Coturnix japonica: one gene and its partner. The protein of the gene in region 1 interacts with the protein of each later gene in a biochemical or structural test. Links are inferred from orthologs where the notes say so. Each region holds a gene or a part of one and is shown on either strand. Other genes may lie near its edges. The genes, in order: KDR and SHC2.

Region 1 (3,805 bases):
TTTCCTGTCCTCCTTGCTCCCCGGTGCCTCCCCCACTCCACTCCATCCTGACCCTGGTCTGCCTCGCCCATCCTTCCTGCTCTATGCCGGCTGTCCCTCATCTTCTGGCCTGCCCCACACAGCCCTCCTCCTCTTCCTCCCCTCTGCTTCTCAGGAAACAGCCTTTCTCCTGTGCTTTGAAAACAGCAGGTCTTGGAAAGGGCAGTGAGGTTAAATTCTGAAGTGTAACAAACATTTAATAGCTGGGGATAGGGGCAAGACCTCAAGGACTACCTTTTAAGCATGGGAGTAGAGAAGGGAGATCTCAGTGGAGACATTAAGCATGGCATCTTGAGATCCTGATCCTCAAGGCATTGGGCAGGTTCAACACTTTCCATTGCATATTGTTCCTTGGAGGTGCTCTGCTCTGCACTCAGATGTCCCCAGCTTCTATAGGAACAAAGTGACATGGGGTGTGTGTATACAGTGCCATTGGGAAGCCTTGTGGGAGGTGTAATATCCTGCTCTCTCTTCCAGTTCCCCCCCAGATAGGCGAGAACGCGCTGATGGCCCCTGTTGACTCCTACAAGTACGGCTCAACGCAGGCACTCACCTGCACCATCTATGCTGTCCCACCGCCTGCTGCTGTCTTGTGGTACTGGCAGCTGGAGGAGGAGTGCACCTTCAGCCCCCAGTGAGTGGCAGTATTGGGGCTGGGAGCTCACGGTGGTGTTGCTTTGTGTCTGGGCTTCGAGGTGAGCTCAGCTGAGCTGGGCTGGCGGTTTGGAGCCTCCCTGTGCTATTATAAATACTGGACAGAGAGTGGTGGACGCTGAAGCGTTCAGCCCTAGGATTTGGTTTTGCTCCCTCTTAAGTCATGAGAGAGCTTTTGCTGATGACACCTGTAGGCTCAAAATGACTTCAATTGCCAACTAAGATGGTTGTTGTACTCAATAGGCAGTCAGGCTCTGCTGACTCATGGACAGGGAGTTGAGAGACAGGGGCCACCTGTGGTGAGGAGCTGGCAATGCTGGCTTGTTGCCTTCAAGCCTTCTTCAAGGGCATCTTGAGCCATGATGGGTTTTAAATACAGCTATTTTTATTCCCCCACCCCAGTCAGCTCTCCCATTGGGCTCAGTCCCAAACACAGGAAACTTGCTGTTTATGCTAATTGCAGACCTTTGTGGTCTTATGCTCCAGCGCTGAGTGTGACAGTGCTCTTTATCTGTGTGAAAGTGTATCTCAAAGGAAGTGCACTGATTGATGTTGGGGAAAGATAGAGAGAGTGCCTGACTGAGATTCACGCAGCTTCCCTTATCTGGGTCTGCCATAAGCCCAGGTTTCCTTTAAAAAAAAAAAAAAATCAAGAAAAAAAAAAAGCATTCTTCTTTCCTGTTGTTGTTTTTAAAGAGATTTCCACAAGTTTCTTCCTTTGGTGCCTGGTTGTTTCCTACACAATGGCTACTGTCCTCAAGAAATTCTTGTAGGGAGTTCAGTGATTTCTATGTCTCTCTGTCTTCCTTTGAACTAAATTAACTCGAATCTTGCATTTATGAATGGAGGTTTGTTCCCAGAATAGCCGCTTCCCTCCAAGCATCCTGATGGAGCTGACACAGGCAGATTAATTAGGGAATTCACCTTTCAGCTTGGGGGCTTCTTGTTTTACAAAGCACAAAGGTCTTAGAAGGTTACAGGGTTGAATTTAATAGAAATATTTCGAGAAACATACTTTTTCCCACCAAAATGTAGGCTGTAGCCCGTGATCCATCTGATCTGTTGATCAGCGTCTTCATATTATAGGGAAAACACAAAAACACATTAGGAAAGGACTAATGTTTCCTGTGGACTAATATGTCACTTCTCTTCTTGTCTCAGAAAAGTTCGCCTGGGAGCCAATCCATATGCATGCAGAAAATGGAAAGTGATCTCAGAGAGAAAGGGTGGGAATCAGGTTGAAATCAAACAGAGAGTTGTTACTATTGCTGGGAAAACAAAGGTGAGAAGATTTTCTTTTCTGTTGATTAGGAAAAACTAGATCTGTTCAGCAGTCAGAAGTGTATCACTAGAGATGGGAGTCTTTATGTAATGTTAAACTGGGGGATCTGGCCTCTGATCATATAAGCTCATATAAGCTCATATTGAAGCTAAGAGGTAGAGATGGACACTTGAATCTTTAGACACTTCCCCAGAGCAATTCTTCATTGTGAAGCCTGTTTACATTTCAGCACTTTTCTTTAAGGGGGGCAAGTTAGTTTTGTCAGTTAATAAGGAAAAGCTAGGAAAACTAAAGAGCAGAAAAGTAGTGGGTACAGTATTTATGGACATGAACACCATATCCTATTTTTTGTTGTTTTCTTTTATCTGATTGTCATGTACTTAAGCATGTGAATATCAGTAAGGGACCGTATAGCCACTATACTATGGAGAGTGTTTCAGTCAGCAGAGCATTTTGCTGAGCTGTTGTGGTGTTCAGACTCATAAAGGAACCTTAACACTGATGTGGTATGAAATTTCTTGTTTGTTCCCTTGTAGACTGTAAGCACCCTTGTGATTCAAGCAGCAAATGTATCTGCTTTGTACAGATGTATGGCTACTAACAGAGCTGGATCAAGTGAAAGAGTCATCTCCTTTCACGTGACCAGTAAGTACACCTTTCTGAGGAGTCATGTTAAATTAATGTTATTTTGTATTTCTTACTACTTAGACGTGCTTCTACACTATTATCTGATTCTTGTCCTTTATAAAATCCTTTAATCTTATTGAAGGTTTTCCTAGAGCAGTTTTTAAAGTCACCAACTAACTTCAACCAAAACATTGGTTCTGCTGGCATCAGTGGAGTGGCAGTCCCATGAAAATCGTACTAAGTGGGCACCAATACCCGAGAGTGATTGCTGTTGGGTTTCTGTAGTCTTTTAAAAGAGATAGAGAAAAATATGGGTAGTTTCACAAAAGGAGCTGTGATGTGCTGTAAAAGCTAAGGCTAAAATTTTCACAACTGCTGGCAAAGAGCTTCTGTCCTCTTGAAAATCAGTTCTCATATTCATGTATATTAAATCCATATCAAAAAAAGAGCTGTAAGATAATGTTAAGAATCAGCAGAAGTTTCTGTTGAAAGAACTGTATTAAGTAGACAAGACTTTCTTTAATCTATGTAAGTTTATTGCTTTTAATAACCACTCTTTACCTAAGTGGTTAACTGATTTTTCATTGATTTCTTCCTTCATTTAAAAATAGACAAGATGAGGATAATACTGTATTTGTAAAAAGGCTTTTCAAACCCATGTTGGCAACAAAACATGCAGCCTCAGAAGAATTTTCTTTTCTATTTTTCTTAACGTGCAGGAGGTCTTGAAATTAATCTCCAGCCTCGGAGTCAACTGACAGAGAAGGATAACACGTCCTTACAGTGCACAGCTGATAAATTCACTTTTGAGAAGCTATCGTGGTACAAACTCAGCACTCATGTCTCACAGACACCTTTTGGAGGGCTGCCCATGCCTGTTTGCAAGAACCTGGATGCTCTGCAGAAGCTGAACGCAACTGTTTCAAATGTCAATGGTGAAAATGTCACCTTAGAACTCATCCTCCGTAACATCTCCCTCCAGGATGGAGGCGACTATGTTTGCATTGCTCAGGACAAAAAGGCTAAAACACAGCACTGCCTGGTGAAGCACCTCACTGTACAAGGTATGGATCTCTTGCTGTGAGCTATGATGAGCGTGGCTGCTGGAAGAAACAACTCCAGGAGCACCAGGTTTTGGTGTCTGCCTGCCTTGTAGATGTGCGCTCAATTTTTTAAACAGATTTAGACCATTTGTTGTAAACA
Region 2 (4,406 bases), on another chromosome or scaffold:
ATAAAGAGAGATGGAATTTGTCAGCTGCCTTGGAGATGTGCATGTGAACCTGGCAACATGGAGGGAGACTCAGTGCTGGGAATGAGGAGACAGCAGAGCTTGTTTTTCTTACATCAAGCACTTCTGCTTGCAGAATGCTCAATGCTATGACCAAATAAAACCTGGAGCTGCCCCATGGAGCTTGCAGGAGTCCAGCGTGTTCCAGCACTTTGCAGCAGTTTAAAAACCAAAGCAAGAAAGGCAGAGAGAAGCTAAGAGATGCTGTTCCTAATATGGCAACAGCAAATGTATGTAATTCTATTACCCTGATTTATCGATTGCACTTAGAGCGATTACTGGCTTTCACCCCCATCATCTGCCAGGGAGAAGGAGACAGTGAAGAGAAGGCGAGATAAAGGCAGCCAAGCATTGTCCAGGTCACTGTGAGCCCCCAGGGAGGCTCTGGTTCTGTCTGTGGGGCAGAGACCTGACCCCTCAGCAGCACAGCATCCCTCTCTGTCCTCATCCTTCGAAAGATGCTCAGTTGAAAATGGAAAGGCAGAAATAAACAGCACCCGAGGGAGGACTCGAGGTGAGGAGGTGGCTCCGGGCTTGGTCCCCAGTGTGTGAGTCATGCTGGGAGCCCCCACAGTGGGTGCGATGCCTCATGCAGGCTGCCTTGGCCTCCTGCCCCTCTGCTCAGATGCTGTGGGTGGATGCCAGGCTGGACAGGAGGTCTGAGTCCTTTGAATGCCTGAAAAAACAAAAAGCAGGGCTGGGGGAGGGGAGTATTACATGATGGTTTGAGGTCAGAAAGTCCCTTTAAATGTGTCTGTCCATCCCCCCAACCCCCCCCCAGCTTGCTGCAGATACTGGCAAAGAAGCAAGAAAATGATTGTGCTTTTTACTGCCTGAGCCCTCCAGGCAGATATAAACAAGTGGGAGCCAGACAAAATCAGAGTGGACAAGACCACTGGGTTGGGAGGCACGGAAATAAGCCAGCCCTATTGTACAGCAGAGCCCCCCCTGCACCCCTCCACCTCCCAAGCAGCCTCAGGCACCCTGCAAATGCTTCTTGGTGATGGAGTGGTAGAAGAATGGAGATAATGTACCCGTTGCAGGTGAAGGCAGCAGCCAGATGCTGCTGGCCCCTTCCAGAAGCTGCCTGCTGGCCACTGGGGGCATCCCTGGCATGGGAGGGGGGCATCTGTCAGCACAGGCAGCCCGTTTTGTGCAGGAAAGAGCTCATCCCACCTCATCCTCGGGTGTCCACTATTCAGTTGGCTCTTTTGGGGCTCCCATCGTTGGCAGCAGCCCAGAGGGGAGCACAGCCGGGGTGGCTGGGGGCCGGGTGATGCTGGGGGGTGCCAGGGAGGGGCTCGAGGCTGGGTGATGCGGGGTGATCTCGGGGTTGAGTGATGCTATAGGGTACCGGGTTGGGCTCGGGGTGCTGCCGGGGCCGGGCTGCCCGTGCCGGGGGGGGGCTGCAAGGACGGGCAGTGGGGCCGGAGAGGGCGAGAGGCGGGGATGCTCAGACAGCCGGGAGGGGCCGGGGCGGGCGGCGGAGCGCTCTCACCATGACATCAGCGCTGCGCGGCCCCGGGGGAGCGGGTGGGGGGCGGGAGCCGGCTCGGTAGCGGTGCGGGGCGCTGAGCGGCGCCGGAACGGGAACGTTCGGCTCGGCCGGGGCGGCGGGGCATGATCCCCGAGCCCAAGTATGATCGCTTTCGAGACGAGCCGCTGAGGGCCGCGGCCCGGCCACGCCATCCTCCGGCCGCCCCGATGCCGGCTCCGGCACCCGCGCATCCCGGTGCGGCCCCGGGGCTGGCACAGCCGTGCCCCGCTGCGAGCGAGGAGCCGGAGGCGGGTACCACGTTCTGCATGCTGCTGCCTCGGATGCCCCAATGGAAGTTCCCCGGTCCCGGTGGTTTCCTCAGCCGAAGCCCTTCGGGTTCCAGCAAGGAGCTCTCCTCGCCGGCCAAAGCGGGAGGAGCCGTGGAGTCCGGGGGGGCTACGTCCAGCCTGGCCGCCGTGCTCGGAGCCTGCGAGCCGGGTTGCTCGGCTCCGTGCTCGCTGCAGGTGATGAGCCGGCTGCGCGGAGGGGCCGGGGCTGCCAGGAAAGCGGCGAGGGTGGAAGGAGCCCGACCGGCCGGGGATGAGTGGAATCGCAAGGGCAGCTTCATCAACAAGCCGGCCCAGGGCTGGCTGCATCCCGACGAGCGGGTGCTGGGTCCTGGCGTCTCCTACATCGTCAGGGTAAGTGCTGCCAGCCCCGCTCCTCTCTGCTTGGTGCGGGTAGGTGTGAAGCCCCAAGCCCGCAGCTGGAAGCTCCCTCTGCTCACCCATCCCTGTGACACGGTCCCAGACTCTTGAAGGACTGGGCATGACTCCTCTGTCCTGGGATGGGCAACGTGGGGAGCCCCTGTAGCCAAGCAGTGCTGTGCTCTCATGGCGTGCATCCCTGGGCCTGGATGCTGCATGGTGGGAGCCCATTGCACAGCATCACCTGGGTCTCCATCCTCAGTGCAAGGGCAACAGAAATGGTCAGTGGGCCCAGAGGCCGCTGGCCTTGCTCTGGACCAACCCACCCCCGCACAGTGCTCAGAGCCTCGGTTTTCCCCATCCACATGTTCATCTCTGTGGGTACGGGATGCTGGCTGCCATCCACTGCTACACAGAGGAGCCCTTGTCACCGACACCTGCCTCCTCTCCATCACCTGCATTGGGGCTGGTGATATTCCTTGAGGTTTCTCTGACCTCCCCTCCCATCCTGCAGTACATGGGATGCATCGAGGTGCTGCGCTCCATGAGATCCCTCGACTTCAACACGCGGACACAGGTCACCAGGTAAGACCTGCAGAGATTGAGGTCGGTGCTGAGGTTGGGAGGAACTGTAGGGGCCACTCCATATGCTTAGACAGAGGCAGCAATGCAGTGATGGGCATCGGATCAATGGGTGGAAAGAGGAGAAGGGAGGTGGCCCCGGTGGGGATGACGTACCACCAGCCCTGTGACCCTGGGGGAGGCTGGGGGACATTGCGGCTGCTTGGGGATGATACTCCCAGAGCTACAGGAAGGGGAAGCAGCCAGGAAACAGCTGGGATCTGCAATGGTAATGCTGTGGGACTTGGGGCTTGCAGAGAAGCCATCAACAGACTGTACGAGGCAGTGCCGGGTGTGAAGGGCATCTGGAAGAAAAAGGTGAGTTTCCACCTGAGCCCATTCCCTCTCTGCTTTCTTAGGGTTGGGGTTATGGTTGATCCCAGTGCAGAGCCTGGGGTGTTGGGCACTCTGTGTCTTCCCCACCCCATAAAGGCTCTTTGGAAGGGCAACATCACCCCTGTGCTCCTGTCCCCCATCAGGCTCCCAGCAAAGCCCTTTTCTCCATCCTTGGGAAGAGCAACCTCCGCTTTGCAGGCATGAGCATCGCTGTCAACATCTCCATTGATGGCCTGAACCTCATGATCCCTACCACGCGCCAGGTGAGAGCCAGGCATCCCAACCCTCTGCCTCCAACCTTATCTCTGAGCTGGGTGTTGATGGCCTCCCCATGCCCTGCAGATCATCGCCAACCACCACATGCAGTCCATCTCCTTTGCCTCCGGTGGGGACATGGTGAGGCTCTCACGTCCCAGCCCTGCACTCAAGGAGTGGGGACGTGGGGCTGCCCATCCCATGGTGGGGCCAGACTGAGCCAGAATTCAGGGACAGCCCAGTCCTTGGGGCTGGAGCAGTCAGGGCTGAGTCTGGTACTGGCAGCCTCAGCCCCGCTCTACACACAGCAGCAGGACATGAGCCCCAAACACCCTCTGTGTCCCCAGGACACCACGGACTATGTCGCCTACGTCGCCAAGGACCCCATCAACCAGAGAGGTGATGCTGATTCCCGGGGCATGGAGAAGGGATGAGTTGGGCTGGAGGAGGGCACCTCTTGGTGGGGTGTGAGGGGCAGCTGGGGGCTCTTTGGGGGGCTGCTGTGAGCCTGGGGGAGGGTTCAAGTCCATTCACCTGCCTGTTTGCAGCCTGCCACATCCTGGAGTGCTGCGATGGGCTGGCACAGAGCGTCATCAACACGGTGGGACAGGCCTTTGAGCTGCGCTTCAAGCAATACCTGCACAGCCCACCCAAGGCTGTTGTACCCCCAGACAGGTAGGGCTGGGGTCCCTCCATTCTTTCTTGTGCCTTGTCCTTGCTTGGAGTGGGGCTGTGTCTCCAGCTGCCCCTGCTGTGTTCTGCACAAGGGTGCTGGGGATGGAGGAGTCAGCGTGGGGGGAGGATGATGAGGTGGCCGAGCACGATTACTACAACAGCATCCCAGGCAAGGAGCCACCCCCAGGGGGGCTGATCGACTCCCGTCTCCAGCACAGTGCATTCCCTGGCCGTATACGTGTTCAGCCCTCTCACCAGGTGAGCCCTGGAGCCACTGC

The links.
Region 2: the proteins of KDR (region 1) and SHC2 form a complex in vitro, tested with the Homo sapiens proteins (2 studies listed by BioGRID). The link is inferred for Coturnix japonica from reciprocal best matches to the Homo sapiens genes KDR and SHC2.

Annotation. Positions count from the first base shown.
Region 1 is NC_029519.1:58,810,436-58,814,240, forward strand, and holds part of KDR (vascular endothelial growth factor receptor 2), read left to right. Parts: intron 1-516; coding exon 517-673; intron 674-1,854; coding exon 1,855-1,975; intron 1,976-2,511; coding exon 2,512-2,620; intron 2,621-3,321; coding exon 3,322-3,666; intron 3,667-3,805. UniProt on the Homo sapiens protein: Tyrosine-protein kinase that acts as a cell-surface receptor for VEGFA, VEGFC and VEGFD. Plays an essential role in the regulation of angiogenesis, vascular development, vascular permeability, and embryonic hematopoiesis.
Region 2 is NC_029543.1:1,744,480-1,748,885, reverse strand, and holds the start of SHC2 (SHC-transforming protein 2), read left to right. Parts: upstream 1-1,592; 5' UTR 1,593-1,677; coding exon 1,678-2,235; intron 2,236-2,755; coding exon 2,756-2,826; intron 2,827-3,119; coding exon 3,120-3,180; intron 3,181-3,341; coding exon 3,342-3,461; intron 3,462-3,540; coding exon 3,541-3,594; intron 3,595-3,800; coding exon 3,801-3,852; intron 3,853-4,001; coding exon 4,002-4,128; intron 4,129-4,220; coding exon 4,221-4,386; intron 4,387-4,406. UniProt on the Homo sapiens protein: Signaling adapter that couples activated growth factor receptors to signaling pathway in neurons. Involved in the signal transduction pathways of neurotrophin-activated Trk receptors in cortical neurons.